Cricetulus griseus: one gene and its partners. The protein of the gene in region 6 interacts with the protein of the main gene of each other region in a biochemical or structural test. Links are inferred from orthologs where the notes say so. Each region holds a gene or a part of one and is shown on either strand. Other genes may lie near its edges. The genes, in order: Ncoa6, Arnt, Prmt2, Foxo1, Ccnd1, Esr1 and Safb.

Region 1 (4,424 bases), on a different chromosome or scaffold from region 6:
AAACACTCATATACCAAGTAAAATATCTTTAAAAATTTAATGTGTGTGTATGCCTGTACACATGTGTGTAGGCATATACATGCTAAGGGGCCAGAAGACAACTTGTGGGAGTCATTTCTTTCCTCCTGTCGTGTGAGCTTCTGAGGGAACTCAGCTTGTCAGCCTTGATAAACAAGTGCATTTATCTATTAACCAATCTTGCCTGCCTGGGTTTTTTTAATTAAAAAAAATGATTTTAGGGACTGGAGAGGTGACTCAGTAGTTAAGAGCACTGGCCACTCTTCCAGAGGACCCAGGGATTCCCAGAACCCAGATGACAGCTCACAACTCTCTGTAACTCCAATTCCAAGGGACCCAACACCTCTTCTGACCTCCACAGGCCTCAGGCACAAGTGTGTGGTGCACATATATACACGTGTGGAGAACATATGTACATATGTGCTACATACACACACACACACACACACACAGGCAAAAACACTCACATAAAAATAAATAGATCTTTAAAATAATTATTAATAGGTTTCATCATGAGATTTTCATACATGCGTATCACGCTTATAGTTACTTCGCATTACCTCTCCCATCCCTTCTGCCCTCAAATAGTTCTCACTCTGCAGCTTTTATCACACACACACACACACACACACACACACACACACACACCCCTAGATTCTGTCGAATCATTTTTAGTAAGAGAGTGGCACGCTCAGAATTCTGACGGAGGAATATTACTAGCAAGAAAAATAGTGGCGCACGCTGGCGGTGCTGGTAAGGGTGGTACCCATACCAGTCTATGTGCACAGTGTGCACTCAATAAATACCCGTGGAAAGAAAGCGTTTCAGAGTCCTCTCTTAGATGAGACACTATAACTGAGCCGTTAAGAATCCACCTGCCCCAACCGTCCTTACAGAGGAAGAAGCTGAGACACAGAGGTAAAGAAAATCATGAAGCTAAGGGGTGGGAACTGATTTAAGTGACTCTGGGCTCAGCCCAGTGCTAAGAACACTTCCCTGCTTTGGGAAGAGAGGAAGCCAGAGGCCCGCCTCCACCTGTTCACTCACCAGTTCTATTTTGTGAGCACCTACCGTGTTTGTTAGGGTGGTGGGACGAAGTGGGGGGGGGGGAGATAGAATAAAGGTTATCTTTATCGTCAGTCATTAGACGCTTTCCAAGCCTTTCCCTCATTTCCTCTGCGCAAGGAAATACTATCATCCCCATAGCTGGGGAGAGCACACTGAGGCGTGGAGCGTTACGCAGCACACACAGCCAGCCGCTGGGACAGCGCTGAACATGCACGCAGACCAAGATCGCACCCAGCACCTCGGCTCACATGCTCGCTAGCAATCGAGCTCGCGCGCTCCACCTTGCGCGCCAGGGGACGCCCGGTCACGTGGGCAGGGCCCCGCCCCTCGGGCCCGCCCCGCCCCGCCGCGCTCCCTCCCTCTCTCCTTCCTCCCTCCCTCCCCGGCCCGGTCCGGCCCATCCCCCCTCCCCACCGGCTCCCTGAGGCCTGCCGGGTCGGGCTGCGGCGGCCGGGCGCCGACGGCCGGACGGACGGGCGCACGCGAGGACCGGCGGACGGACGCGCCGAGGGCGCCGGGCACGCACGGCCCGGGCCGGCGCTGCGAGGCCCGCCCGGGGCCGGGGCCGCGCTCAGGTGAGGCGACGGCGACGCTGGCCCGTAAGGGGTGGGCCTGCTGAGCGTCCCGGGCCCGGCCCGGCAGGCTTCGTGGGGAGGAGGCCCGCCCGGGCCTGGCGCGCGAAGATGGCGCCGGGCGGCCGTGCAGCTCGGCCCGAGTGCGGCCCGGGCCCGCAGCCGCCCCACCCGCCGCCGCGCTCGTGTCCCCGTCGCCATGTTGGGGAGCGGGCCCGGGGCCTGCGGCGGGCGCGGCGGGAGCGGCGGCGGCGGTGGGGAGTGCGGGTCGGGGCCCGCGGAGTGCAGGCGGCCGGGGTTGCGCGGGCGGCGCTGCGGCCCAGGAGCCGGCTATACCGCGGGCGTGAGGTCCGGGCTGGGGGCGCGGAGAAAAAGACCCCGGGAGCGGACGGGACCGGGGTTGGGGGCGGGGCCGAGGGGGCGGCGGGCCGAGGGGGTGCCGGGCGGTGGAGTTGGGTTAGGCCGTGCGCTGTGAACCGAGCCCCAGAGCAGCAGCCAGGGGTAGGGGAGGCAGCTTGGGGGCCGAGTCCTGGCTGTCAGGGCTGGAGTTGTTCTTTGCGTGCGCTGGAGGAGATTGCTTAGGAATGGGGGTTGCGAACTCGGGGATCAGAGTGGGTCACCGACGCGGGAATCAGCCTGGAAGGGTCCTGGCACTGAATGGCCAGTCTTTATGACTCCCAAGGGTCTCGGGACCTGTGAGCCCTGAGGAGCCTCCAGTCCCGTTGGAGGCAGCAACAGGAAAAGGGAAGAGCTTGATGAGGAAAGAAAGGGTGCCAGGCAGGGGCTGGATGTAGGAGCTGGACAGCAAAAGGTACAGAGTGGAACTGGTAGGAAAGGAGAGAACCTCCATCAACTTAAGGAGTTGTCTTTAAAAGGAGGGACCCGGCTGTTTGGGGGCGGTGACCCAAAGTGTGTTTCCTGGAAGGGGACAGCCGCTGCTTAAAGAGCAGGGTCACCTGGGGAGGTCGTCTGAAAGGTCTTGTTGAAACTAGTCAGAATCGTGAAGAAGGAAAGGACATGTAATAACTACGGTGGCTTTACAGAGATCATGCCATGGTTTCAAATCAAGTAGTGATTTTAGCCAAGGTAATTGATTTCCTAAGATAGTTTGTGTCGGTGACAGAGGCTCCTGGATATGGACTAAGGCTTCCTCATTCAGTTGCTAAGTCAAACTCCATTAAATTATCAGAGTCATTAATTTTTGTTTTAACAAGTTTGTCAGTACAAAGCCTGAGTGGGATACAAAAATGTATAATCAATTATTGGATATTTCCTAGATCTCCATTGATACAAAAAAAAAAGCATCAAGAAAGAACCTCTTTCTAGAGTTTAAAAAAATGTTCCCCCTCGTCTGGATGTTTATTGCACAGCAAAAGAACACAAAAAGCTTAAAAGGGGAAAAAAGGATAATGATAGAGACCTAGGGTCCCCATCATATTCACTTTAATTGAATTTCTGTTATAAATAGGCAATTGAGAGTTCAAATGGACTATGAGATAAATCAGCCAGTGATATATAGTTGACTTTTAATGTCCCTGAGTTTTGCATCTACAGCTTCAACCAATCACCGATTAGAAACATTCATAAAACAAAAAATTGAAACTGTGCTAAACATACAGGGTTTTTTCCTTGTCACTGTTATTTTTTCTTGTTATTATTATTCCCTAAACTAGACAGCTTAACAACTGTTTACATGACATTTACATTTTATTGGCTATTACAGGTAGACAGGATACACAAATATTGTATCACTTTATATAATGATTTTGATATCCTAGGAGGTCCTAGAATCCATTGCCCATGGATATACCAAGGAATGACAGACAATACAAAACTCCACATAATTAAAAAACAAAACAAACTTAGAAGCCAGGCACGGTGGTTCACATCTATATCTCAACACATAGGAGACTGAGGCAGGAGAGTCTGGGCTATAGAGTAAAGGCCCTGCCTCCAGAGGAAAAAAAATAGACTTTCAGGTGTTGGCATTGTAGTTAAATGGTAGAGTGTTTGCCTAGCATACAACATAAGGGCCTTGGTTTTATTCCCAGCACAAAAGGGATGGAGTTTAATCAAAAGAATTTTATAAGGATTTTCAAAACCACATGTATATTCAGTACCAATTTTTCTGAGTCTTTCTAATGCAGAGATCTGATCTTATGTGTGCCATGGTCCCTGTAGCATGGATCTCTCAAAATAATATTTTTAATTGTATAAAGTAAATGACATTGATTACAAAGGAAACTAGTTACATTCAAATAGTTACTAAGTATAAAAATTGTTTATGCTGAAGTATCTGTACACCTATTTGTGAATGTGGTGGTAGGGATTGAACTCAGGGTCTTGCTCAATCTAGGTAAGCCTGCAATACTGAACTATTCCCCCCTTGCAGAGTGTGTGTGTGTGTGTGTGTGTGTGTGTGTGTGTGTGTGTGGAGGAGGTGGAGGAGTAGTACTTATCGAGTTTGTGCATATGCATGGGGAGACCAGAGGTTGACTTTGGTGTCTTCCTTGATTGTTTCTCTACCTTATTATTTTTTTACCTTGACATTTTATTTTCTGTAGTTATTTGTGTGTGGGGCCATGTGTGTGGAATCTGAGGACAACTTGTGGGGATCACTTCTCTTTTTCCACTTATGTGGGTATGCCAGAACTCAGGTCATCAGGATTGACAGATAGAGTGCCTTTACCTGCTGAGCCATTTTACAGTCTCAACCATTTTATTTTTTGAGACAGGGTCTCTCACTAACCCTGGAGCTTATTGATT
Region 2 (3,658 bases), on a different chromosome or scaffold from region 6:
TAACTTTTTAAAACCAACCCAACTAACCTGGTCTTTTGGCGATCTGCTTCCAGCATCACCTATGGAAGAAAAGAACTTTAGTATATAGATGTAGGCAATGGAATTTTCAATGAAGCATTAAATAAATGAACTCAAATTTTAAGTAAGAAAACTTTATTGGTAAACGCAATTTAAAAGTCTGGGTGGTGGTGGTAAACATCTTTAATCCCAACAGAGGCAGGTAGATCTCTGTGAGTTTGAGGCCAGGCTGGTTTACGGGTGAGTTCCAGGACAGCCAATGATACACAGAGGGATACCGTCTCAACAAAACAAAACAATGGAAAAGAAACAAGTCTGGGGATGTGGCTCAATGGTAGAATGCTTGCATAGCAGGAGGCTAGTTTACACAGGGAGCTACATATCAGGAACACATAATCGAAACACCACACCGAACAAACAAGCCAAGGACTAGAGAGGGCTTAGTGGTTGGTTACAAGGTCTGCTTTTTTTTTTTTTTTTTTTAATTTTATTTATTATGTATACAACATTCTGCTTCCATGTATATCTGCACACCAGAAGAGGGCACCAGATCTCATAACAGATGGTTTTGAGCCACCATGTGGTTGCTGGGATTTGAACTCAGGACCTCTGGAAGAGCAGTCGGTGCTCTTCACCTCCGAGTCATCTCTCCAGCACCACAAGGTCTGCTTTTACAGGACCCAGGAATGGTTCCTAGTACCCATGTCAGCAGCTTACACTGGTCACAATACATCTCAGAGAATCTGGTGCCCTCTTCTGAGCTGAGTCCAGTTATACTCACATACACATTCCCAAACACAGACAGACATCACACCTCTAAAAAAAACAAATTTATTTAGTTATTTATTATGTATGCATGTATGCCTGCACTACAGAAGAGAGCCCCAGATCTCATTTTTGATGGTTGTGAGTCACCATGTGGTTGCTGAAATTGAACCTGAGTCCTCTGAAAGAACAGCCAGTGCTCTTTACCACTGAGCCATCGCTCCCAACACTTTTTTTTAACACATAGTTTTAAAAAAATAATAAAAATAAATTGCTTAAGAGCAAAGCAACTTTTAAACCCCCAAACCAACTAAATGAATAATATAGGAGAGATCACATTTTCTGGTAACATATGAGTCCCTCTAGGCTCCATTTCTAGGACTGGAGACAAGGAGTAGTGAAAGAGGAGATAAAAACAGTAAATGCCGTAGGGCATTGGTGGCGCAGGCCTTTAATCCCTGCACTCAGGAGGCAGAGGCAGGCAGATCTCTGTGAGTTCGAGGCCAGTCTGGTCTCCAGAGCAAGTGCCAGGATCGGCTCCAAAGCTACACAGAGAAACCCTGTCTCAACCCCCCCCCCAAAAAAAAAAAGAAAAAAAATAGTAAATTCCTTCCAATGCTTACCTCAGGCAACAAAAGGCTAGGGAGATGGCTCCGCAATTGGGAGAACCAGCTGCTTTTCCAGAAGACACAGCTTGAGTTCCAGTACCCACAAGGAAGCTCACAACCAGGCAAGACTCCAGTTTCAGGGGATCCTATGTCCTCGTCTGGCCTCTGTGGATACTGGGCACACACAGAGTAGACATGGTAGATATACATACCTGTAAGCAAGATATCCATACAAGGTAAAAAACAGACGCATGACACTTAAGAGAAAACCTGTAACAACTAAAAACAAACAAGCAAACAAGCAAGCACTGTTAGGGAATCCAAATAAATGCTGAATTTACCTACTAAGGTAAACCATAAGATACAGCATAAATCTGGTATGTTGGCCTATGTCAGTAATCACAGCTTTTAGAAACCAGAAGTATTCTACCGACCAGTGGTGGTTCCTGGGGAGGAAGAGACAGACGGATCTCTGTATGTCTGAGGCCAACCTGGTCTACACAACAAGATCCAGGACAGGCTCCAAAGTTACACAGAAACACTGTCTCAAAAAAAAGAAAAAAAAAAAAAGGGAGTTGTTAGCGCATGCCTTTGATCCCAGCACTAGGGAGGCAGAGGCCTGTGGATCTCTGTGAGTTCCAGATCAGCCTGGTCTACAAGGGCTAGTTCAAGGACAATCTCCAAAGCCACAGAGAAACCTGTCTCAAAAAGAAAAAAAAAAGCAAGAGTATTGCTACAAGTTTAAGACTAGTATTCACTATGTGGTAAGTTCCACACCACACAGATACAGTAAAATCATTATCTTAAAATAAAAATTCTAGAGAGATGGCTCAATGGATACAGTGTTTACATCACAAGACCTAAGTCCTGGAGTTTGGATCCTAAACCTGTAATCATAGGACTCACAAGGCAGAGACACACTGTAAGCTGGCTATCTATACATGCTAGAATTAGCAAGCTCCAGGTTCAATGAGAATCTGCCTCCATAATAAAGTGAAGGAAGAAAGCTGTAAACCTCTGAATTCTACATGCATACATACCTACATACATGCACGTACACACACATCCAAAACATGCATATGTACGCATACACTGTGACCATTAATGTCACATTGACAAAATTTGAAATTACTTGGGAAATGGAACTCTGTGAAAGCCAATGGAGAATTATTTTGATTGTGTAGAGGTGAAAGGACCTGCCCACTGTGGGTGGTTATCATTCCCTAGACTTCATAAAGAGAGAAAGAGAGCTAGCTGAGCAGGCAGCATGAGGCAGTCTGTCTCCAGACTTCACATACAATGGAACCAGATGCTCCAGGCTCTTGCCACTATGAATCCCTGTGAACCAGACTAAGTCCCTTTCCCTTTAACTGAGTTTTGGATGTTTGTTTTTGTTTTTGTTTTTGTTTTGTTTTTCAAGAAAGGGTTTCTCTGTAATGGGTAGGAGCCTGTCCTGGAACTCAGAGACCAGCCTGTCTCTGCCTCCCGAGTGCTGGGATTAAAGTTATGCACCAACACCTAGCTCCCATTTAACTGATTTTGTCAGAACATTTTATCATAGTAACTGAAAAAGAAATTTAGACATAGATAGGTAAATCACACACAAACATGGGGGGAGGGGGGAGACAGAAAATAAATATACCTCATCCATGAAATGGGAAAAGGAAGCAATCAGGATATAGCACTTACGGAACTTGCTTTTTTCTATAATAAATAAGCCCAGCAAGTGGGTATGAGGAATTGTTGACAATATGTTTCCTTATTTTCTACCTGCTCATCTTCTAATAATTCACCTTCCATTCTAAGAACTTTTTTTCTTTCTTTCTTTTTGTGGTCTTTTTGAGACAGGCTCTCCCTGCATAGCTCTGCTGTTCTGGAACTCAGACATCTGCCTGCCTCTGCCTCCTCCAGTGCTGGGACTACAAGCGCATGCCACCACACTTGGCCCATTCTAAGAATTTTTAACTAAAGCTTCATCATTTACCTGAATCAATACTGAGGACATCATCATCTTCATCAGGAATCTCAATTATTTCTGTAGGCTGGGAAGCTTCATCCTCGGAGCTACAGTGATGATACCGCAGTCCCAGCTTAGAGTAGAAATCCTTCACCAAAGACTCACAATTGATCACTGCCCTAATATTGGAACACATTAGAAAAGATCAAAGCCAGTGGGGAAAGCGTTAGAATTTATACACATTAATGCAATACGAAGCCTAGGAGCTCACACCTATGATCCTAGTACTTAGGAGCCTGAGGTACCAGAA
Region 3 (4,252 bases), on a different chromosome or scaffold from region 6:
TGCCGAAAAAAAAGAAAACACAAATTCCTAGGATTAGCACCTCTTCTCTAGTGGGCAGTATTAACAGGATTTCTGCCACACCCCCACTAAGACTCCCGAGTCACTTAGAAGTCAACTAAAAGTCAATAAGAAGAAATCATTTCTAACCCATCCAACTGACCACAATTAAAGTATCGTCTATGACACCATCAGGGGCTATACTGAAGATCTGTGTACTTGTGACGTTGCCTGGAAACTCAAAGTATGTGGTCCTCCACCCTCAAAGCTCCACAGTGCTATCGCTGGGAATCTAATCTGGAGCACCAGATATGGCAACAGGTACTCACTGCAGCACCATGGGGAGGCAGGGTGTGACTACATCTGAGTACCCAACAAAAGGGAGACAGGGAGATGTAAACCCACTGCATAGCCATGGGACCACAGCAGACCAACACAAAACTGGGATATACAGACAGAGCACGTGCCCAGGAGGCCCAGCAGTGGCAGGGCCAAAGTGATGTCACATAGCTGCAGAAACAGCAATACCACCTACACAAGCCTCAGAAAAAACACAGAGCAACTCGGACTTTGTTCAGGGATCCTTCGTTTTGTTTGATTGACACAGTTCCTCGGTGCTTATTTCTGGCTGGCTTGAGGACCCTTATACGTTCATAAAGGTACCTAAGGTGCAGAAGCCTGCCTGAAGTGGTTGTCTGCCTCCAGACGAGGAAGGAATGGGTCTGGGTTTGAAAACAGACTAGAGTGTTAATTTTATTTGTGTGTGTGCCCTGAGGCAGCTACAACGAAACGTTTTCATCTCTGCACAACATATGCTCAATGTCTACAACATTATCTTGTAATTGTCAATATTTACATTTACCAAAAGAAAAACTGGGCATTCATAGAATTAAAACATTTTGACGCTGAACATGGAAAATGATTAACAAATTAAGCCAACTATAAATAAAATTCCTACACATAAAAATACCCAATACATACATACCCAGCAGCTGGGCATGGAGGCACTTTTAATTGCAGCATTCAGGAGCCACAGAATGACATAACCCCGTGAGTTAAGACCAACCAGGGATACACAGTAAGACCTGTGTATCCTGTGTCTCAATAAGTAATTAAATAAATTAAAACCCAAGCAATGGAAAATCATTAGGATAGAAGAAAATGCTGAAGCTCACACCACAGACATGAAAATCTTTGATTTTTAAAAGTGTTTTTATTTGAATACTCATTTTGTTAATTGTACATTATCAATATTCCTTAAAAGTGAAGGGGACCTTTTCTCTGGTAACAGGAATCAAACTGATATGCACCCAAGGCAGAAAACAGCATGCAAAACACGGAACTTCTGGAGTACCAAGCATTTTCCAGGCCCTATGCCTAACACCGACTAAACACAAGTTTACACTGGAGGACTGTGGTGTCTGAAGCATTCTAAAGAGTTCCCTGAAGGATTTGTAACACCACGCAGCATGGCACCTATGAATTAGGCTCATATCCACCACCCCCCACCCAGTGTTGTTTAAATTCAAGCATCCTCCTGTTGACTACCTTGAGAGACAAGGAAAACTGCCTCACACCTGTGACTTGTTTTTCGTTACACATGGCTCTTACGTACCAGCACTGGGATGACCTGTGACTCATTTCCGGGACAGTCACCTGGTGTCTCCATAGTTCAGTAAGATTCTGCCTCATAACTGCTTCTTTGTTATTTCATTTTCCCTTTCATTTCTACTTGGAAAAAAAGAGAGAAAGAAACACAAAGTGCTTGTTATACTTGAAAATTAAATTCACTTCAGCTCTACGGTTCACTGCATGTGAAAGAATGGCACAGAAATGGACTTTACCACCACAATTCTTGAGATCAGTGCTTCTCAACCTTCCTAACGCTTCAACCCTTTAATACAGTTCCTCATGTTGTGGTAACCCCCAACCATAAAATTATTTCGTGTCTGCTCACAACTGTAATTTTGCTACTGCTATGAATCATGATGTAAATATCTGATCTTCAACCCCCAGACTGAGAACCGCTGTTTTAGAGGGTTTTAAACAGCAAAAACTTCAAATACTGTGTGCTTCCTTCCTTAGTCTGCTAAGTATTAATTTTATTCCCTGCGAGCCTGTTTTTACTTACAATAAATCACTATCATTTTGTTCTTAGGAACTCCTAACAGCTTAAACTAGAATTTAAACCCCTTGCCTAGTGCTTGACCTGTTCGTTCCAGTGGCAGAATTGGAGTCTGCATGCCCGGGGACACCCTCCTACTCTTTAATTCTCTTTCTTCAGGGGCAGTGCAATTTTACTGGCTCTGGGATTAACTTCAATTAAAGCAATTCTTTGTTGAAATGCCTGCTGCTGTGCTTCTAGGTCTGGACTTCATACTTCGTAATAATTAGAATTACAAATACTTATTACATCTTCGGTGAAAAGCTTGGGAACAGGATAAGGCTGGTGCCCGGGAGGAGGAGGACAATGAATTCTTTGGGAGGGTCGGCCAGGCCAAGTGGGGGGTGAGGCAAGAGGCTTAAAGAGGGGGGCGTGGCTCGAGAGGCATTTAGGCAGGTGGGCGTGGTCATTGGAGGGCGTGGCTCCGGGAGCCAGCGGCGAGGGGCTGGGGAAGTGAGTGAGGGGCGCCGCGAAAGGAGCGGGGAGAGGGCGGGCGCTGCTGAGAAAGGGTGAGGCGGGACTAGAACCTTCGGGAGGGGCGGAGACACACACCTTCTGCCTAGCATGTGCGGCCTCACCTGCGGCCCAGCTGCCAAAGCCGCCCATTAAGAAACCTACCTCGGCCGCGTTTCTCCGCCGAACGCCAGGCTGGCGACACCGAGGAGGAAGGGATGACGCCCATCCGAAGCCTCAGCCGCCGCCCCAGACCTGCGCAAGCGCGGAACGCTCGGGCTCGCCCAGGCCTCGGTGTCCCGCGCAGGCGCGGTCCGTCTGAACCCGGTGTGCTGCAGGTCAGAGTCCTGTCTGAGTGCCGGCCGCTCGGCGCAGGCGCACTTTGTGTCCCTGCGTCTAGTCCGCGTCCGGCTTCAAGCCCGCAGCGGGGAGCCGTGCAAGCAACGGCTCACCGGGAGGAACGGTGCGAAGGAAGGCTGGACTTGGGGTGGGAGGCCACAGGTGGTGTAGACCGTGCCCCCAGCGGATTCCAACTGCGTGCAGGCCGCCGCCGCAGAAGTGCCCGGCAGCGCCGTCCCGAGCACTCTTGGGGCTGCTGGTGTGTTTGGAGCCCTCTGCCTGTCCAATAACCTGGTTTGCGTCCGGATCAGCGTCTGCAGAATGGGGCCTCGCACAGCATCTGAACCAACTTTAGCCTGAGGCCTGAGGTGGTACCAGCACAGCTCCCAAGTGAGGCACAAGACACATCAGAACCCCCCAGGTCCTGAAGATCCTGTACTCAGAGGGCCACTGGTACCGGTTGACAGAGCAGGGTCCTTTTCACTGGCAACCCCTTTCTATGCAAGAAATTTCCGTGTGACACTAGGTGTCTAAAGTAGGCATAGGAAAGGAACATTCACTGGTAATAAATCAGAAAAGAATTTATTTTAAAACACTTGATTTTGCCATTTATTAGAGACAAAAGCAGATTTGCACACTAATTAGTTGGATGTGTTTGTCCACTGTAATCCAGATACTTTGATGTGATAGTGCCGAGGGATGATGGGAAAATATTAAAATTCTTTGTTTTCCGAAATTAAGCCATTATGGTGAAAGAAAACAAAAAACACTGCAGCTCTTAACATAATGGCTTCAAACCCGCTATGAGGCACCTCGGGCAGCCTTCAGTGATCTGCATGGCAAATGGAGAGTAAACTGTACCTGTTGTGCGTTCAAAACCAAAGCTGAGGTGGAGCTCCGCAACGCACCATGGGTGATGGCTGAGAGAGACACTTTGGAGTCGTTACACTTTTGAGTTTGAATTATTTTGGCCATTGTTAGTTTGGAAGCCTTTTACCGTTGCCCGGTTTTTGTGACTCCAACATTAAGTTACAGAACAGAGCTGTGTACCACAGTTTAAGAAGTTTTCAGTTAGAACCTCGTGGTGTGAACGGGAAGCCCCTAAAGGAGGCCAAGTTCTGGCTGATTCTAGGGTGGAGTGGGTAAGATTGAGCCTAAACTTCGGTGAGATCACAGCCTTTGCCAAGGAGGTGAATCTGAAAAGGTTTGGTTTTTCCACCATGTTTACCATGAAAAATCATTAACGTAAGAGTTGCCACTAAAGGTGGCCTGGTGGCTAACCAACTAAACTCAGCATGG
Region 4 (4,451 bases), on a different chromosome or scaffold from region 6:
AACTAGAAATATCCCAAAACACTACCTTTATCTTTAAAGTAAGGCACTTAAACAAACTGAAGTAGGTTGTATCTATCCCTCTCCAAGAACATTAAAGAACGATGTAAGTACACACTGTACTTGGGTGCCTAAAGGGTTTTAGGGTTTCTTGTTGTTTTATTTTTAATGACAGAAGCTTTATGTAACTGCTGAGATTCCATAGATGAGTAAAGCAGGCAAGTACTCAAAGTCAGTTAAGTAAAGACAACCTCTATTTTTGTGAATTAGAATATGAGAAATGGGTATTTTACTTTTTGGAACATTTGATAATATTGCATGTCAGGTATAGTATATATCTTTAAAACACACTGGCAAAAACAAAACAAGCCCGGCTCTTTCTCCAAGAACTTTCCTATGATGTGAGTAACCTGACCTTTTAGCTACTTTAACCACAGGGAAGATGGAATATGTGAAACCACCTCGCTCTAACAATCACAAAGCAAAGACTCATCACTGCTACACTGTACAGACAAGACCAGGAGGGAGAAAAGCTAAAAAAAAAAAAAAAAAAAAAAAAAAAAAGTTGCGTTAAACTGGAAAATCTTAAGATCTGTGTTCACCTGTGATGCTAAGAAACTGTCAGCCGGGGTGACCACCAGGGAGTGACCCCTGTGTAATATTCCAATTCTCTCCTCCAAAAGACCCCAGGTTCTTACTACCCCCCCACACACACACAGGGTAGGGATGTCGCGCAGTCCAACTCTGGAGTCACCTCGCTCTCCCAGCCATCTTCAGAAAGGTAAACAAAGTCCATGAGCACCTACATCTACAAATCTGCAATCCTCCTTCAAAGGAGAAGGTCTCTGGCAATTCCCTAAGCAAGTACCCCACTTAAGACTGGCACCAAATACTCCGACTAAGGCTTCCAGCCTTGCCCCTCGTGAGTAACTCCATGCTTTCTGCTTAAAGAAAGCACTCGCAAACACCTGTGCATAATCTGGTCACGCGTAGCACCTTCTGGGCTTCCAATTAAAAGCACCCCTCCCCAAGCAAGACCAACCGTGGAAGCACTTCCCTGGGTATTAAAGTGTGGCCTCCCAGGCTGGAGGCACTGGCCCTTTAAAGGCCCCAGCTTCCTGTACACGCGGTCCCTCCCTCCCCGCCGGCTCCCGCCCCGGCCAAGGGTCACACTTGAACTTTAGGTTGCCCAGCGCCTAAAAGCCGTGGCCGCCCACTCGCACGCTTCGGACACCCTACACAGTGAGTGGGCGCGCTCGACCACCTGCTCCGGCCTCGGGAACCTTCAGCAGCTGCGGGCCCGCACCTAGCTCAGCCAGCTGCTGTGCGTCTTTAGCCATCCCACCCGCAGCCGGAGCCCCAAGGGTGCGTGTGCGTTTAGGGGGATGTCGCCAGGGCTCCACCTCAGGCCTCAGTTGGCGGGTCCTGGGAAACCTTGGCCACCAAAGGCTGGGAGAGTCGGTGCGCGAGTAGGCGGAGAGCAGCCGCCCAAAGCCTCACAGGTCCGGGGTGTCAAGTAGAGAGCCCTCCAAAGTGATCCCCTCGCTCCGACAACTGGCTAACTTTCACGCCTGCTCTGGCGTTGCACTTAGTGCCCAAACAAACCCTTTCCGGGTCCCAATTAGAACTCCCTCGCGTGCACCTGGTCCAAAGCTCCAGGTCTCAGAGAAGCCTCCGCCACACCTGCCAAGTCTCACCCGCTCGCCCCGCTCACTCCGCACGCTCTGCCATTTCCGGGACCCGCAAACCCACACTTTCGACCCTCCAGCCCGCCCCCACCACGTCCCCCGAGGCCATTCACCTTCCAGCCGGCCGAGCTGTTGCTGTCGCCCTTATCCTTGAAGTAGGGCACGCTCTTCACCATCCACTCGTAGATCTGCGACAGGGTGAGCCTCTTCTCAGCCGAGCTCTCGATGGCCTTGGTGATGAGGTCGGCATACGACAGGTTGCCCCATGCGTTGCGGCGCGACGAACTGCTCTTGCGCGGCTGTCCCGCGAGCGGTCCCGCCGCGGCGGGGGGCACGGGCGGGGGCTGCGACAGCGGCCCGGTCGGCGGGGGTTGCTGCGGCGGTGCCGGGTGCACACAGCCCGCCTCGGGGCCCTGGAAGTCCCCGCACAGGCCCCTGCTGGCCGCAGCGGCGGCCGCCACAGCCACGCAACCGGGTGCCCGCGCGAAGTCCTCACTCTCCTCCAGCAGGCTCAGGTTGCTCATAAAGTCGGTGCTGACAGCGGACGCCGAGGCCAGGTTCGCGGTGGCGTCGGGGTTGGTGGCCGCGCCGCCCGACGGCGCCGGGCTCGAGGTGGTCGAGTTGGACTGGTTAAACTCTGGCCTGGGCAGCGGCCAGGTGCAAGAGCGCTGCCGAGGCAGCGGCTCGAAGTCCGGGTCGGTCTCCACCACCTGGGGCGCTTCGGCCATGGTGACCCCCGCCCCTCCCCCACCAGTATAGAGTACTGGGAGTCGCGGCCACCGGGGTCGCGGAGCGGGCGAGCAGAGACTTGCTCCGAGACTGGGGGCCGCGGTGAGCGGACGCACGCCGGAGCGAGGCGCGGCGCAGCGGACGGACGCGCCCAGAACTTAACTTCGCGGGCCACCAGGGTCCAGGATCCTCCGAGTTCGTGGCTTGGACGGGACACGGACCAGGCCGCGGAGCCCGGCAGCTCGAGCGCCACGCTCCTGCTGACAGGGCCGCGGACGCAAGAGCAGACGGGGGGGACGGCGCGGGCCGCTCGCTCGCTCTCCCGCGGCCGCGCGACAGCGGCGCTGCTGCCTGTTGAATGTGGCGGCGGCAGGGACTGCAGCGACTCCGCAGCCTCCCGACTTACGGGATCTGCAGAGGCTCCCCGCCCGCGGCGGCGCGCGCGCCGACCCGCCCCTGACTGACAGCCAGCGCGACCAATGGACACGCCACGTCTCCGCCTCGCTAGCCAATGAGCGCGAGCCTGGGCGGGAGCTGCTCTCCCTCGGGAGGCGGCAGTAGGTTGTTGGGAGGGGGCTAGCGGGGTGTTTTTCTTTCTCACACACTTTTTTTTTTTTTTTCAATCTCCGTTATTATTTTCTGTAATTCTCAAGTGTTTCTGAGTCTCTCGCTTCTCAGAGTCCGGATTGCTAGGAAGCAAACCAGCGTGGAGGCGGCGACCATACTTTTGTTTACTACAGAGTGCAAACGAGTACTCCTCGGAGCCCAAACCCCGACGACTCGAGGGGTGGCGCGGGGCCACTGCGCGCTCCCGGACGCGACGTGGGCGGCGGGGCGCCTCGTGGATTCCACTAAGCCCGCTCCGCCCACGCGTCTTCGGGGAGCTCTGGGGAAGTCGGTGGGGTTTGTTTTGGAGGAATGTTTTCGTAAGCTGGCATCTGTCCGGGCTGCCTCGGGCGTAAAGATCCTACTGTGAAGACCGAAGGCTCTGTGGCTCCTGGTCCCTCTTCCCACCCTACCCTTGCACACCTGCAAGCTGAGACTCTGCGTTTCTGTCCATCCCCCAGCCTCCAGTCATCCTGAACCCAGAAGAGGTGCGGCTTGGGGAGAAGACACTAGTGTTTCACAAGCACATAGATCCTGTAGCGCCTCTGATCTGAAGTCTTCTGTGGGAACCGCTTTCCTGCCACGGGAATCTCACTGTCCCCTGAAAACCATAGTAGTGGCCAAAGGGTTAGGAGAGCGTTTAGAGACAACCTTGTCACTTTATCACCCCTAATTAAGTTTAACTAGTTGCTTATTTCTTTTTATTTAAAATGGAAGCCATGAGGTTTTGAGTAAAATCCAAAATGATCAGACCCAAGTGTTGAGGCACAGACCCCCTTCTTCAATCACCCAACGGGTCCTTTAAGCTTCCTGCATCTGTGCCTTCAGCCTGCTCCCACCTACACCTCACTTTTCCCAGTGCGAGCTCCCAGATCTGGCTATCTAATACAGGCTCAGCAAGGTCGAAGGTAGAAAGATAATGATTCTTGTATTACGGAGCAGAAGAAAATGTTTCCTCGCTTGGTTTTCTGACTTGCTTTCTCTTTTAAAAAGAAATATGGATGGCATTTTCTTTTAATGAATAGGATGCCTTAGAATTGAAGATGAATATTAGGGTTTTAAATGTGTTCAAAAAGATGGTTCCTAATTTCCTGTTGCTGTTGTTCACTCTTCTTCCTTACACAGAAATCTTCTATTTAAAAGGGGGCATCTAAGGAAAATGATATTCTTACAAAGGTTAGAATTATGCAGAGGGGTTTTTTCCTGAAACATCTCTCTATTCCGGGCCCCCGTTTCTTCATAATCCCTTTATTGCAATGGCTTCCTCTAATTTGAAAGGAGGTATGGGTAGAGACCCTGAACCAGAAGTGCTGGGGAGGGATAGAGGTTGGTTGTCGTCTCTTCACCTTGATATAAGTTGTGGCTGGTGGGGTCTTCCTTGGCAGCCACTAGGAGACTTGAGTAAATCAGTGAGCTTAAAAGGACCACAGA
Region 5 (4,139 bases), on a different chromosome or scaffold from region 6:
TCGCATTGCTGGTGAAGAGGTCTACCCATCCCTGGGATAAAACACAGGAAACAGGTGACTAGCAGTGGCTGCACTGAGCAAGCAGGAGTGAGGTGTGCCTTTCAGCAAAGCGAGTACATCTCTACCTAAAACTCTCTTCTATTTCAACAAGTTTGCTCTATTTGCCTTTTTTTCCTTCTTTTTTAAAGCAATGTTTCTTAAGCCTTTTAAACACATAAAATCAAAATCCTTCTGTAGACTTCCTGTGTGTTAATCCTATTCTTACAACAGACAAGCACATTAATAAAAAACTAGTTGATTACTGGGGTATAAAATCCTATTTTGGTAGCATCCCCTCTGCCCTACACTCAGGGTGATGCAAATTCTATCTCTCTCTCTCTCTCTCTCTCTCTCTCTCTCTCTCTCTCTTTAAGACAGCTTTCAGGTATTTTTTCTCTTTTGCTTAAGTCACATAGAAAGGAGAAAGATTAAAGAAAAACAACCAACAAAGAGAACAAAACTTCCCCTTCTGGTAACAAAATGTCCCCAAGAGGGACATCATTAGGAGCACCCCGGGCTGGCTCCTTCCTCATCGCGGGTTGCCACTCCTTGGTGGCACCCGCCTGCCCGGTGGCTCTCAGATGTCCACATCTCGTACATCGGTGGGTGTGCAGGCCAGGTCAGTCTCTCCCTCTGCTTCTCCCTCTTCCTCGGTGGCCTTGGGGTTGATGTTCTGCTGGGCCTGGCGCAGGCTGGACTCCAGAAGGGCCTCAATCTGTTCCTGGCAGGCGCGGAGGCAGTCCTGGAGAGGCAGGCGGAGATGGAGGGGGTCCTTGTTTAGCCAGAGGCTAGTGGCCAGGGCCTTGACCTGCGAGGCAGGCTTTGCTAAGGGCAAGGCTCGAAGAAACTCCCCGAGTCATCCCCAAATCCAGTGAGCAGTGAGAGAGCCACAAGGGACTAGAAAGCAAGAAGAGTGTCACCTCTGCCCCCATGCCATGAGACAGGAATAGGGAGTTCCTGTGGCTGATGCCAGACAGGGCAGATCGTGTGTCACACATGGAAGTCCACTGGCTCTGACCTACACTGAACCCCCAGCTGAGTCCAAGCCAGAATTGGACTTTTGTCTGTCCTGTCTATGCCAGCCTGCAATGTCCTTGAGGACACCTTCACGACCAGAGCCCCAAGCAGCATCCGCCATACTGCTCAGTGTCATTACGCCCCTGCCCCCTTCCTTTAGGATCAATGGCTTCTGGAAGATCCCCAAACCTCAAGCCTGGGAAGAGGCTTGGTGGGGAGGGGGCGCTAGGTTTGATTCCCCTTTGCTGCAGAGGCCAGTGCTCCAACCCTCACAGCCCTGGCCTGGTCACACAGTGTCTTGACACTGTCCCCCCTCCCCCCGCCCCCGATGCAGTCTCCTTCAATGACTCACTTACCGGGTCACACTTGATTACTCTGGAAAGAAAGTGCGTTGTGCGGTAGCAGGACAGGTAGTTGTTGGGGCTGCCCAGGTTCAGGCCTTGCATTGCAGCCACCACGCTCCCGGCAGCCACCATGGAGGGCGGGTTGGAAATGAACTTCACGTCTGCAGTAGAGAGGAGCCACAGGCCTGTGGTTTAGCTCCCACCCAATTCTCAGTACAGCCTCACTCTGTCCTCCAAACCTCCCTATCCGTGCATCAACTCCAGCTCCTTTGGCAACAGCTAGGTGGCGCTAGATGTACATAGGGATACAGGCCTTCAACCCCAGCATGGAGGCCAGGGTGCAGACACTTTAAGGCAAGGTCTTGTCTCACTTTAAGAAGCTGAGCGGCTGATCCTGGCCTGTGTTCCACCCCCCCAGCATCTCAAGCAAATAACAAGGAAGAGTTGGTCATGTCCCCTTTGTTCCTTCAAAGTTTAAGAAGAGGACAAAGGACAGAATTCAAGAAGGTACAGGCCCTTAATTAACCCTTTAACCTGGAGGCAGGTGTGACGCTTTACATCTGCATCCCCAGTACTTGAGAGATGGAGGCAAGGGGATTGCTGTGTTCCAGAGCCACCAAGTCATAGAAGGATAACGGTAAGCTGCAAGGGTGATAGGAGCAGATCCCTCAGAGGCCAGGCTAGATGTCACAGAAGGGATGCTCCCCCCAGAGGACTGACTCCCAGGATCTTCCACAAAGCCATTTCCCTAGTTATAAAATGTTCTCCTGCATCTTTTCCAAGCTGCTTTCCTGGTTCACTGATGCCAGCTTAGGGAAGAAAGACATGGGACCCCAGAACTCCAATTCAGGGTCCCTTGTGAGGGAAGCCCCGCCCACGAGTCTTGGGGACTCTCACAGCACAGCCCCAACTGGAGAAAGCAAACCCCAGGGGGTGGCAGCTTTGTAGTCTGCCCCACTGTTAAATGTGTGGGGTCATGTCCCCCCACAGTACTGCAGCAGCAGGGGGTCACCCGACTTCCACCCAGTATCTGCAGTGAGTGGTGTGGCGGGCTGACGGAATGAAGGCCTGCCCACCAACCCCACTACCAAAGATGAGCCCACAAGCTGCTCTCCTGAAACAGTGACAAGGACAGCCACACACTTAAGCCCGTGGATCAGGGGTTCCGGGCTAGAGGAGGACACAATAAAGAACAGGTGTCAGCTTCCCCATCTTGGGTCACCCAGTGCCTGGGAACTGGGAGGCTTGAAGAAAACTAATGAGAATCACAAGTGGGAGAGGGCTATGGTGGTGAGGCAGCCCTTTGGAGACTACCCTGACAGAGCATAGAGCTTTGGTTCTGTTAAAGGTCGGGAGGCACCAGGAAGGGACCCGGAAGAAGAGCAGCCACGCAGAAGAGAGACAATACTTCCAGGTGGCACCAAGGACTCAGCTCAGTTCAGTGAACTGAGCTTGCTATGGAGACAAGTTCAAATCAGATGCCCCTTTTGCAAGGAGACAGAGAAACTCCAACCACCAGCTAGCACGTGGCCCCCTCTGGTGCTTGTCTGTCCCCTTCTCATGTGCAGTATAAGGAACCTTAACATCTGCTTACTCACACTGCCTGGCTGCTGCTGGCATAGTTGTCACCCAGTTCAGTGGCATGACTGACACTTACCAAACACCCTTCATTTAGCTCAATTTCCTTTTGTCCTAATCCACACAAGGGTACACTCTGGCCACCTGTGCATGCCTGTATGACCAGCCCCAACCCTAGGTTAGTGCACTGCTCACAAGGTCAGGACCCAGGTCTGGGGGTATCCAGAAGGGAGAAGAAAAGTCACACCCTCCTATCTCCTGTAACCTTGCCACATGGATGGCACATTTCCTGGCTGGCCTTGACCTCTGGCCTCTTTCCAGAGTGACCTCTATGTGACCTCTAAGGAGCTGGTTACTCCTTCAGGGGGACAAAGCCTCCAGGCCTAGAACATTGGTGTATGCAATTCAATAAGTTGTGCTCAATCTCCATTTGTCTTTTGGGGGCTCTTAGTGGACCCATCATAGAAAAAGGCCATACAGTAAGCTGGGTCCAGCCATACTCACAATGCATTAATACTTGTTGGCTTCCCTGCTGGCATTCAGGGGTCCTGGGAGGGGCCCTTTGCTGCCAGAACCATCCTGGGGAGGCTGTGCCACCCCATCCCTCATGTTATCTCTGGGAAACTCTGCAGCTTCTCTGAAGCCACTTTCAGCTCCATAAAAGGCTTCCTGGAGCCTCCAAGGGCTCTGCTCTCCCCAGAGGAACCCCAGCCAGACGCCTCCCTGCCTGCCAGCCAGCAGGGCCGCCCCCGCCCCTTACATCCTTCCAGGCTACTGATGGCCTTGGCACTCCCATCTGCCACCCCCTTGCTTGGTAGGCCTCTGGGGAGGGGCTGCCACCCTCAGCAGGTAGCTGGGAGGCTAGAATCCCAAAATCTTCACACCCACCACAGCTAAGCAGAAACACTATCCACAAGGGTGGACAACAGAAGGTGCCAGAGATGGCAGGTGGGAAAAGACATTACATGCCCCTCTTACACCATGTTGCCTTTTGGCTGCCCTACAAGCCACCTAGCCTGAGTTAAGAGATATAGCAACTAAGGCTTGATCAGGGCCACCTGGGGGGCGGGCAGGGGTCCTAAGCAGGTGAGAGAGAGAGTACAAGACCCCCTCAGCATCTCTAAGCTTCCTGGGCAGGGCTCCCAGTTAGATGGGGAAGCA
Region 6 (4,385 bases):
AGAGGAAAAAGCAATATATTAGACTCCTAGAAAATCATGCAATGTATTAGCGCATGCAGTTTTGCTGCTGTGATCTGAGAAGATCTAAAAAGAGATTATTAGAATGTCACTTAAGAGACAAAGTCACCATCAGCATCACCATCTTTAGCCAAAGCTACCTGTAAAGTGTTTTCCTTTAAAAAGAGCATGGATGGGGGTGTGGCTAAGTAAAGTATTCCCTGTGCAAGCCTGGAGACCTGAGTTCAATTCCAGAACCCATGTAAATATGGAAGGAAAGAAGTGACTCTACAAAGATGTTCTCTGACCTTCACATGTTCACTATGAAACAGCATGCCCCCTGCCACACACACCCCCAAACACACACAAACACACAAACACAATGAAGTACTTTGTTAGTCCCTGTACTGGAAGTCTCATAGGTAGTGTCTCTTTCTCAGTAAATAGCCAGTCTGCCCAGGCAGAGGTAAATGGACAGGACCACACCTCTTGTGTGTTTTACCAAAGATATAGTCTCCAAGCTGGACACTCTATTGTCTGTTTTTCTTTACAGCCTCCCTGTACCCATGGAACAAACTGAAGTTCAACCACAGCCTTAGCTCAAGCTGTCATTCTGGCCAACTGGACCAAAAATACAGAGACAGACTCGGACGGGGTAAAGATAACTACCCATATAGGAAGCCTCAGCAAGTACCTCATGTAATGTCTATAGGGATTGGGGGTTTACATTTGGAGGAAGACAGACAGATGCCAGATGGTTCTGAGTCCTAAACTGAAAGAAAGCTCTAGATCATTGAAAGAGAAGGCAGTTGTCTGGCTTTGTTGTTGCAGCAAATTTATCCTTTGGGGCTTTATTTTCTTCCTTTGCTGTCATGAGCAACAAAGGTGAATAATTACCTCCAAGTGTCAAAGCAACACATTCTGCTTGTACATACAATCCTGATAATCGCATTCAATATTTTGCTTTTTTTTTTTCTGTATGCCCTGTCTCTGATACCTATGTCAGTTTTATTTCTAACTTCTGTGACAGAAATCTGACAATCAGTGCAAGATTGGATCCAACCGCTACAGTCTTATATCTATCTTTGCAGGGCCAAGGATGGGCCTTCTTGGAATATTAACAAGACAAGGGCAAAACGTTTCTCTTTTATTGGTTTAGGGAAACAGAAAAGAATTTTAATGAATAGAAATAGGTTCTGCCCCTAAGATCACAGAGGTCTCTCTCCTACTGACTTTAAAAAAAAAAAGTTCAAATATTTTCAGTTGGTACTCCAATGTCCACTATCTCAGCATATATTGTTTCGGGTTCAAAACTAAATATATTTCCCAGCAGCCTTGTGGGAGGAGGTACTCTATAAATCAATTAGATTTGGCGAAAGAAGCTAATTTTAAAACATTTGGCACCCGTGAGTGGTACTTCATGCCACAATCAAACATCTTAATAAAGCCCAACCCTTATATTAGGTAAATTTTTAAAAATGAATTTTAACCATCTAGGATTTTCTGGGCAAGTCAGAGAGAACAAACACTGGCCACTTCTTGATCAAGCACAAGACTTTCCACTACAGGAAACGGGTGGTTTTCCTGTGGCCAAAATGAAAGTATCCTTTTCTGTCTTTTGTAACTACCGCGTCACCAACGAGTGGCACTGTGTGCCACTGTGTGGCACTATCCTTAACACACACACCACCCTGCCTCAAAAAAAAAAAAAAAAGGAAAACACATGAAAACAAAAAAAATAAGTCACCCATGGCTACTTTCAGGTTGGAGAGAACCAAAGCCACGGGGTTCAGAACTCGCCTACAATCGTGGGGCAACTTCAAGACAAGATGAATTACTAGATGGCATAGCTTTTCAGAAAACCCCACTACCTTGGGGGAAACAAATGATGGCTTATTCCAGTTGCTTAAATCACGCTCCCATAAGTCACAAGTCACAGCACCAAAGATTAAGAAACAGGGTCGTGTTGAGGCAAGTACAAAGTGAATCTAAGCAGGAACTTTTTAAACTCGCGCATGTTTCAACCTTACAGATCCCCGTAGCTAAACCTGGGACCAATAAATAGACGTGATCTGGGGCAGGCAGGCAGCCTGTCAGTGCTGTACTAAGAAAAGATAACTGTGTCGCCCTCTGACTCAGCTGAGCATGGCTCCCAGAGTGAATTTCCATGGGACCAAGGTCAGGTTTAACATGTTAACTTGATAACGTCTGCCAGAAACTTCATAAAATATCGCTGGAGCAATGAAAGAAAGAGAATGGACAGATTTTCACAGGAGAGGTGAGCTCTGAGACTCCAGCCTGCTTGCACATACTAGCACAATATAGCCAAGGGGGGGGGACTATAAAGAAATGGAGAAGACATAGAAGTACCTGCTTGAGAAGAATCACCCAGAGACTGCCTTCTTGTGCTAGGGAATGGCAGAGGAGGGGGCATTGGCCTCTCCTGGCGTCACAGGGCTGCTGAGCATGGAGCCTTGTGTTTTCAGTTTTGGTAGAATCCGTTCCGAGGCTGTTATGACCATGAAATTAGGAAATGCAGAGTCTCAGAAGCAAGGAATTAGCACCACCACTTGACTGGGATTGGAAACTCTGCTCCGGATAATAGGGGAGGGGGTGGCCTTCCTCTCTCCAGCCAGGCCCGATTCCAACTTTCTCAACATTTGCCTACAGATAGATGTTTGCAGAGGGACAAGCCTCCGGTGAAACTAGCTAGCTGAGACTTTTTTTTTTTTTTTAAGGTGATCCAGCCCATTTTGTCTCTACTTGCAATAAAGCTCAAAGTCTAGACGGGCATGCTGACTTGGAAAAAATAAAATAAGAAAGCATTCTCCGGGGTGCATAAATTTTCTCACCCAAAATTAGCTAAGAGGCTGGCGTGAGGGTGTTCCTTCGGTGAGTGCTTCCGAAACTTTCTCTTTCACTCACTGACTCAAGGAGCAGCTCAGCAAGTCTTGTCACTGATTAATTGGGTTCCTGATTTTGGAAACCTGCACTGACAAGGAAGCCCTTAAGATACATGAGTCTTCATAAACTGCTTGGTATTTCCTGCAGCGATTTACAAGTTTATGGGGTTGGGTGTATTTTGTTTGCTTTAGGGCTTTAATCTTGTTTGTTTTGTTCTGTTTTATTAAGACAAGGTCTCTGTAGTCCAGACTGACCTTAAACTCCCAGCAATCCTCCTGCCTCAGCCTTCTAAGCACTAAAATTACAGGTGTAAGCCAAGACTGGCTTTTTTCCTTTTTTTAACGACTGGCTTTTTAAACACTTATTATTTTGTTGGTTTGTCTTTTTCTTTCCTTTAAACTCAAAGACAAACAGGCTGAAGTAAAAATATGAGATTAAAAAATATTTTGAATTTATTTTCTCTCTCAGTGCTAGAGGTAGAACCCAAAACTTTGATGTGCTAAGCAAACACATTACCGCTGGCCCACAACCCAAAGATCCCCTCATTTTTAAAAATGATTGAAATTTTAACAGCTTATAAAATCTGCTATGTTTTATGTAACATGTGCTTTCAATGATGGGTTGTTGTTGTTTTAATGTGTTTGCTTTTTTTCTATGCGATAAGACTTAAAAAGGATATTCTTCCAGAAATAAGAATGGTGACAGGCAAAAGACCAGAAGGGACCTCTCTGGCCACTGCCTCAATCCCTCTAAATGCACACTGGTGCATGCTGGGTAAGGGAAGACTGTCAGAATTGGCTTAGAGGAGACATGAAGCCAAACATCTCATAACTAATGAATTAAACATTTTTAGAATAAACTATCTTCACTGTCTTCAGTTTTCTATACACTGGTGAGTTTAGCCCTAAAATAACCCAAAATGCATAAATGTGTCTGAATTTAACTCCCCCAGACTACTTGGGATAGAATGCCTTTTAGTTGTTATATAGAATGCTTTATTTCAATTTAACAAACATTAAGCTTAATAAGACTCATTTATACAAGGAATAATTACATACCCTAAGCATGGCAAGGACAGTCTTTGATTTATTATTTTTATTACGATTTCTGGTGAAAGGTAAATGATTCAATAAAAGGTTCTGAATAGTTCAAACGTTTTAAAAGCCAAGTGTTTTCTGCCCCAAATTAATTGAATCCCTCCATTTTATTTGATTTGCCAGGATGGATGAATCATGCTTTCAAATAGCATTTAGCTACCTGTTAGAATCCGTTGTGTACATCAATACAGAGAAGAAAATTACCTAGGGCAGGAATTCTCAAAATAGAACATCCACTGGATTCAGAACCAAGTGTAAGATTATTTCCTTTTCATGGAGGGGATGCATATGAGTGTGAAAGTACACAGAAATATGTGGGCACATGCCTGTGCCCCTGCATCCAGAGGCCAAAGCAAGACACTGGTGTCTTCTCCTAATGCTCTCCAC
Region 7 (3,442 bases), on a different chromosome or scaffold from region 6:
TTACGGACCCAAGCCCAATAGGTCACCCAGCTATTTGCACGTTCACAGAACACCCTGGAAACCCAGTGAACAGATGAAGGGCATGATGGCTGACTGGCTCAACACAACTATTTTGTCCTAGGTCCACTCCTGGGCTACAGAGGATGCCTGGCATCTGGGTTATTGCGTCACTCTGCTGAAGTTCAAAAGTTGGAGACATGTGCCTTACCAAAACCAGGGGCTACCTCTGCCTGTACCCCAGGCTGAGTGTCAACGGCCTCTAGAGCTAGGCGCACGTCTCCCACCCCTCTGGTGCCCCTGCCAACAACAGCCAGCCAGCTTTGTTTGCTGCAGAGTTCTGTCTGCAGTAAGGCCAGCTCTGCATGTCCATCATGGTCACCAACATGGTGGTCACAAGCCGGAGCTCACAACATGGGTCCAAGTGGGCCGACTATCTTCCCATATGCAGGACTGAATCAGCCAAGGCCCGAGCCACAGACTAGGACAGGCTAGCACCATGGACAACGCCTCTGGCTGCTTGTGGACTACCACTTCTCAAGGTTGAAGGCTTGAAGTAAAGGGCACATGAACAGAAACACGTTTATTACAAAAAACAGCAACAAAAACCAAAATGAAAACAAATTCACATTTAACAAGCTACAATATGGCAGCAGATTTAAAAAAAAATCCTTTGTACAATGGTGGGAGAAGTCCTGACAGGACACAGAGGTCACACAGCTGGGTGGCACAGGTGCTCAGTAGCGGCGGGTGAAGCGGGCATCACTGGGCCTGCTGCCCCGGCTCTGTCCTCCAAAGCCTCCCTGCATCCCTCCACGTGGAATCACATGGCCACGTGAGGCTCCACCAGGGGCGAAACTGCCACGCCTAAAGAGATAAGGAGAGGCCCTAGCCAGTGTTCCCCAAGCCACAGGTAGTCCCTAGTTCACCACTGCAGTATGTAACCCCACTTCCTCCTTGGCAGGGTAGCACTTACCCTGACATGCCACCTCGGTTCATCATGTGGCCAGGCCCTGAGTGGCCAGACATGCTCCTCTCACCACCTGCAGGATGAGGCAAAAGTCTAAATGGACAGCCTGGCAGACAAACAGCCCTGCTTGGTCTCACCTGGTCCTATCCTACCCCAGACCCCAATCCTTCCTTAACCAGTGGCCCTGGCTGCCGCCTGTTCTCACCTTGCCACCTCTTGTGCTCACGCTCCATCATGCCTCCGTCAGCTGCACCCTGCCATGCCCGGTCATCTTCAAGTCTCCGGCTGTGTTCCCCCCAGTCACGCCTGCCCCTTGGAAAGAGATACCTCTGACCTGCACTGCCACACCAGGCCCTTGGCAAACAGCATGGCTGGGGGGGTGGGGGGGGCAGGTGGGGCTCACACTCCACCAGGCCAGGCTAAAAGTCATCCCAAGACCAGGCCTTGGGAGGGTGGGACACAAACCTGGGAGGAGGGGGCAGCCCTCGGCCTTCACTCATTCTCTTGTTAGAGCTGTAGCCCCAGCCGTCTCGAGAGTCCCGGCCATGGCGTTCAGGCCCTCCATGGCGTTCAGGGTAATGCTGGACCAGAGAAAAAGGCTAAGTCAGCATCACCCAATCCCCAGACAAGAGGAAACAAAGCTCAGGAACCAGAGTATGTGGCCATTGTCATAGCATCCTTCTTCACAAAGGGTTAGGTTTACAAGGCTCCTAACAAGCGCTGCAGCCTATGTTTCACAACAGTGAGACACCCACATGAACCCAGGCTAGCTACCTGAGTAATGAGATGAGTGCCAGCCATTATCCTTGGCTCAAATACTGGCCTACCAAAAACCCTGTGTCAAGGCCAAGGCCTGACAGACACCAAGTGAAGCCAAATGCATCTAGCACCTTCCAACCCCCTCCAGTCTCTTGCCCAATCACAAACAGTCCTGACACACCGGAGTTCTGGGCCAGCTCTCACTGTCTAACTCTCAAGTCAGTCACCTGCCCTTCTTTGCAGAGTGACAACTGCATGTACAAATGAACATACACCCAGGCCACTGCTGGTCAGCTGTTCCCACAAAGGCAAGTAGCTGTGTGAAATGGTGACACCATGATGGCAGCCTGTGGTAGAGCTAAGCCACAGGGTGGCGGAATGAGTATCCAAGGGCTGCAGACAACCCTGGTATCAACTTGGTGACGGGAAACCAAAGGGTTAGGATGGTAAGCCAGACAGCAATGAGGGTGGCACCATGCAGCTAAAAGCAGCAGTGGTGCAGTGCGAGCAACACTCAGAGAGGCTCAGAGTGCACAGGTGGGATGTGGCCGGCACTATGGCTCCCGAGCAGCACTGACAGAATGGGACCACCCCTCCACAGCTGAAGCAGTGCCCCATGCTCACCTGTCCTTCTCTGTCTCCCATCATCGACCTCGAACCTTCTCTCCTAAAAAATGTGATTTCAGTGAGACCAGACGGTGAGGGGTGTGCCTGCACAGAGCCCTCCCAACATGGTCATGGGCCCATCCAGAGGCTTACCTGTCCACAGAGTGGTTGGGGTAACGGCCCCGGTCTCTGTGGTCAAAATCGTGGAAGCGGTCCTGGCGGCCAAAGTCTGAGTGGTAGCGGTCATCCAGTGCTGCCCGCTTGGCTTCTGGCCAGTAGGCATCATCACGCCTGTGATGGAGTGTGAGGCAGAGGCATGAGGCACCTAGAGTCTACACAGCTTCAAGTCCCTGGCAAGAGGTCTCCTTGTGGAAGGTGTATTAACCCTTGGAGCAAACGCCCCACCTTTAACTTAGTGCCACCGTGGGTGATGAGTGCCTTGGTCTTTGGAAGCCGTTGGTACTGGCAGCTTCACAGGACACTTGCCTGCCTAGAGCCTCACACACCAAAGGTCCCAGCAGGCTCCAAATTAGGTCAGTCAGTGTGAGACCCGCCCCCACCCCTGCCCCATGCACCTGGGCCTGGTGCTCTGGATCCCTGGCTGCTCACCGGCCATCCACATCGTAAGGCCTGCGCACTGCAGGCCGGCGCTCTTGCTCATAGCGCAGCTCCTGCTGCCGTCGTAGCTCCTCCCGCTCACGGTGGATACGTTCCTGCTCACGCCTCCGCTCCTGTTCCACATGCATGCGCTCGCGCTCCAGCCGCTCTCGCTCCATGCGCTCTCGCTCTAGCCGATGGCGGTGGAAAGCCAGGCGCTCACGGGCAATCTCTAGCCGCTCCCGCTCCTCCCGCTCCCACTGTGCCTGCAACCGCTGCTCCCGTTCACTGCGCTCCCGCTCCCTGTGTGAGGAGGGCAAGTTGAGGCAGAGTTAGGTCATGCTGGGGGCAGCAAGCTCAAAGACGATACTTCACAGTTAAAGGGGTCCCTGGTACTGCAGCTGCCACCTCCTGTGGTCCTCTCTCCTCCCACCCTTCTCCACAGCAGAAACCTACCTGGCCGCCAATCCCAGCAGTGCAGCCAGAGGCCCTTCCCCATTGTGCTGGGAGCTT

The links.
Region 1: the proteins of Esr1 (region 6) and Ncoa6 form a complex in vitro, tested with the Homo sapiens proteins (4 studies listed by BioGRID). The link is inferred for Cricetulus griseus from reciprocal best matches to the Homo sapiens genes ESR1 and NCOA6.
Region 2: the proteins of Esr1 (region 6) and Arnt form a complex in vitro, tested with the Homo sapiens proteins (2 studies listed by BioGRID). The link is inferred for Cricetulus griseus from reciprocal best matches to the Homo sapiens genes ESR1 and ARNT.
Region 3: the proteins of Esr1 (region 6) and Prmt2 form a complex in vitro, tested with the Homo sapiens proteins (2 studies listed by BioGRID and IntAct). The link is inferred for Cricetulus griseus from reciprocal best matches to the Homo sapiens genes ESR1 and PRMT2.
Region 4: the proteins of Esr1 (region 6) and Foxo1 form a complex in vitro, tested with the Homo sapiens proteins (2 studies listed by BioGRID). The link is inferred for Cricetulus griseus from reciprocal best matches to the Homo sapiens genes ESR1 and FOXO1.
Region 5: the proteins of Esr1 (region 6) and Ccnd1 form a complex in vitro, tested with the Homo sapiens proteins (2 studies listed by BioGRID). The link is inferred for Cricetulus griseus from reciprocal best matches to the Homo sapiens genes ESR1 and CCND1.
Region 7: the proteins of Esr1 (region 6) and Safb form a complex in vitro, tested with the Homo sapiens proteins (2 studies listed by BioGRID). The link is inferred for Cricetulus griseus from reciprocal best matches to the Homo sapiens genes ESR1 and SAFB.

What each region holds. Positions count from the first base shown.
Region 1 is NC_048599.1:24,164,006-24,168,429, forward strand, and holds the start of Ncoa6 (nuclear receptor coactivator 6), read left to right. Parts: upstream 1-1,475; 5' UTR 1,476-1,661; intron 1,662-4,424. UniProt on the Homo sapiens protein: Nuclear receptor coactivator that directly binds nuclear receptors and stimulates the transcriptional activities in a hormone-dependent fashion. Coactivates expression in an agonist- and AF2-dependent manner.
Region 2 is NW_023276806.1:61,081,682-61,085,339, forward strand, and holds part of Arnt (aryl hydrocarbon receptor nuclear translocator), read right to left. Parts: intron 3,528-3,658; coding exon 3,376-3,527; intron 1,566-3,375; exon of another isoform or gene 1,407-1,565; intron 60-1,406; coding exon 28-59; intron 1-27. UniProt on the Homo sapiens protein: Required for activity of the AHR. Upon ligand binding, AHR translocates into the nucleus, where it heterodimerizes with ARNT and induces transcription by binding to xenobiotic response elements (XRE).
Region 3 is NW_023276806.1:262,479,803-262,484,054, reverse strand, and holds the start of Prmt2 (protein arginine N-methyltransferase 2), read right to left. Parts: upstream 2,919-4,252; 5' UTR 2,780-2,918; intron 2,432-2,779; exon of another isoform or gene 2,411-2,431; intron 1,726-2,410; 5' UTR 1,667-1,725; coding exon 1,613-1,666; intron 1-1,612. UniProt on the Homo sapiens protein: Arginine methyltransferase that methylates the guanidino nitrogens of arginyl residues in proteins such as STAT3, FBL, histone H4. Acts as a coactivator (with NCOA2) of the androgen receptor (AR)-mediated transactivation.
Region 4 is NW_023276806.1:99,188,596-99,193,046, forward strand, and holds the start of Foxo1 (forkhead box protein O1), read right to left. Parts: upstream 2,831-4,451; 5' UTR 2,414-2,830; coding exon 1,799-2,413; intron 1-1,798. UniProt on the Homo sapiens protein: Transcription factor that is the main target of insulin signaling and regulates metabolic homeostasis in response to oxidative stress.
Region 5 is NC_048596.1:56,404,636-56,408,774, reverse strand, and holds the end of Ccnd1 (G1/S-specific cyclin-D1), read right to left. Parts: intron 1,562-4,139; coding exon 1,413-1,561; intron 782-1,412; coding exon 617-781; downstream 1-616. UniProt on the Homo sapiens protein: Regulatory component of the cyclin D1-CDK4 (DC) complex that phosphorylates and inhibits members of the retinoblastoma (RB) protein family including RB1 and regulates the cell-cycle during G(1)/S transition.
Region 6 is NC_048595.1:282,290,022-282,294,406, reverse strand, and holds the start of Esr1 (estrogen receptor), read right to left. Parts: upstream 2,894-4,385; 5' UTR 2,432-2,893; coding exon 2,368-2,431; intron 1-2,367.
Region 7 is NC_048598.1:96,940,719-96,944,160, forward strand, and holds the end of Safb (scaffold attachment factor B1), read right to left. Parts: intron 3,233-3,442; coding exon 2,942-3,232; intron 2,624-2,941; coding exon 2,486-2,623; intron 2,394-2,485; coding exon 2,351-2,393; intron 1,549-2,350; coding exon 1,433-1,548; intron 1,280-1,432; coding exon 1,173-1,279; intron 1,041-1,172; coding exon 974-1,040; intron 865-973; coding exon 735-864; 3' UTR 555-734; downstream 1-554. UniProt on the Homo sapiens protein: Binds to scaffold/matrix attachment region (S/MAR) DNA and forms a molecular assembly point to allow the formation of a 'transcriptosomal' complex (consisting of SR proteins and RNA polymerase II) coupling transcription and RNA processing.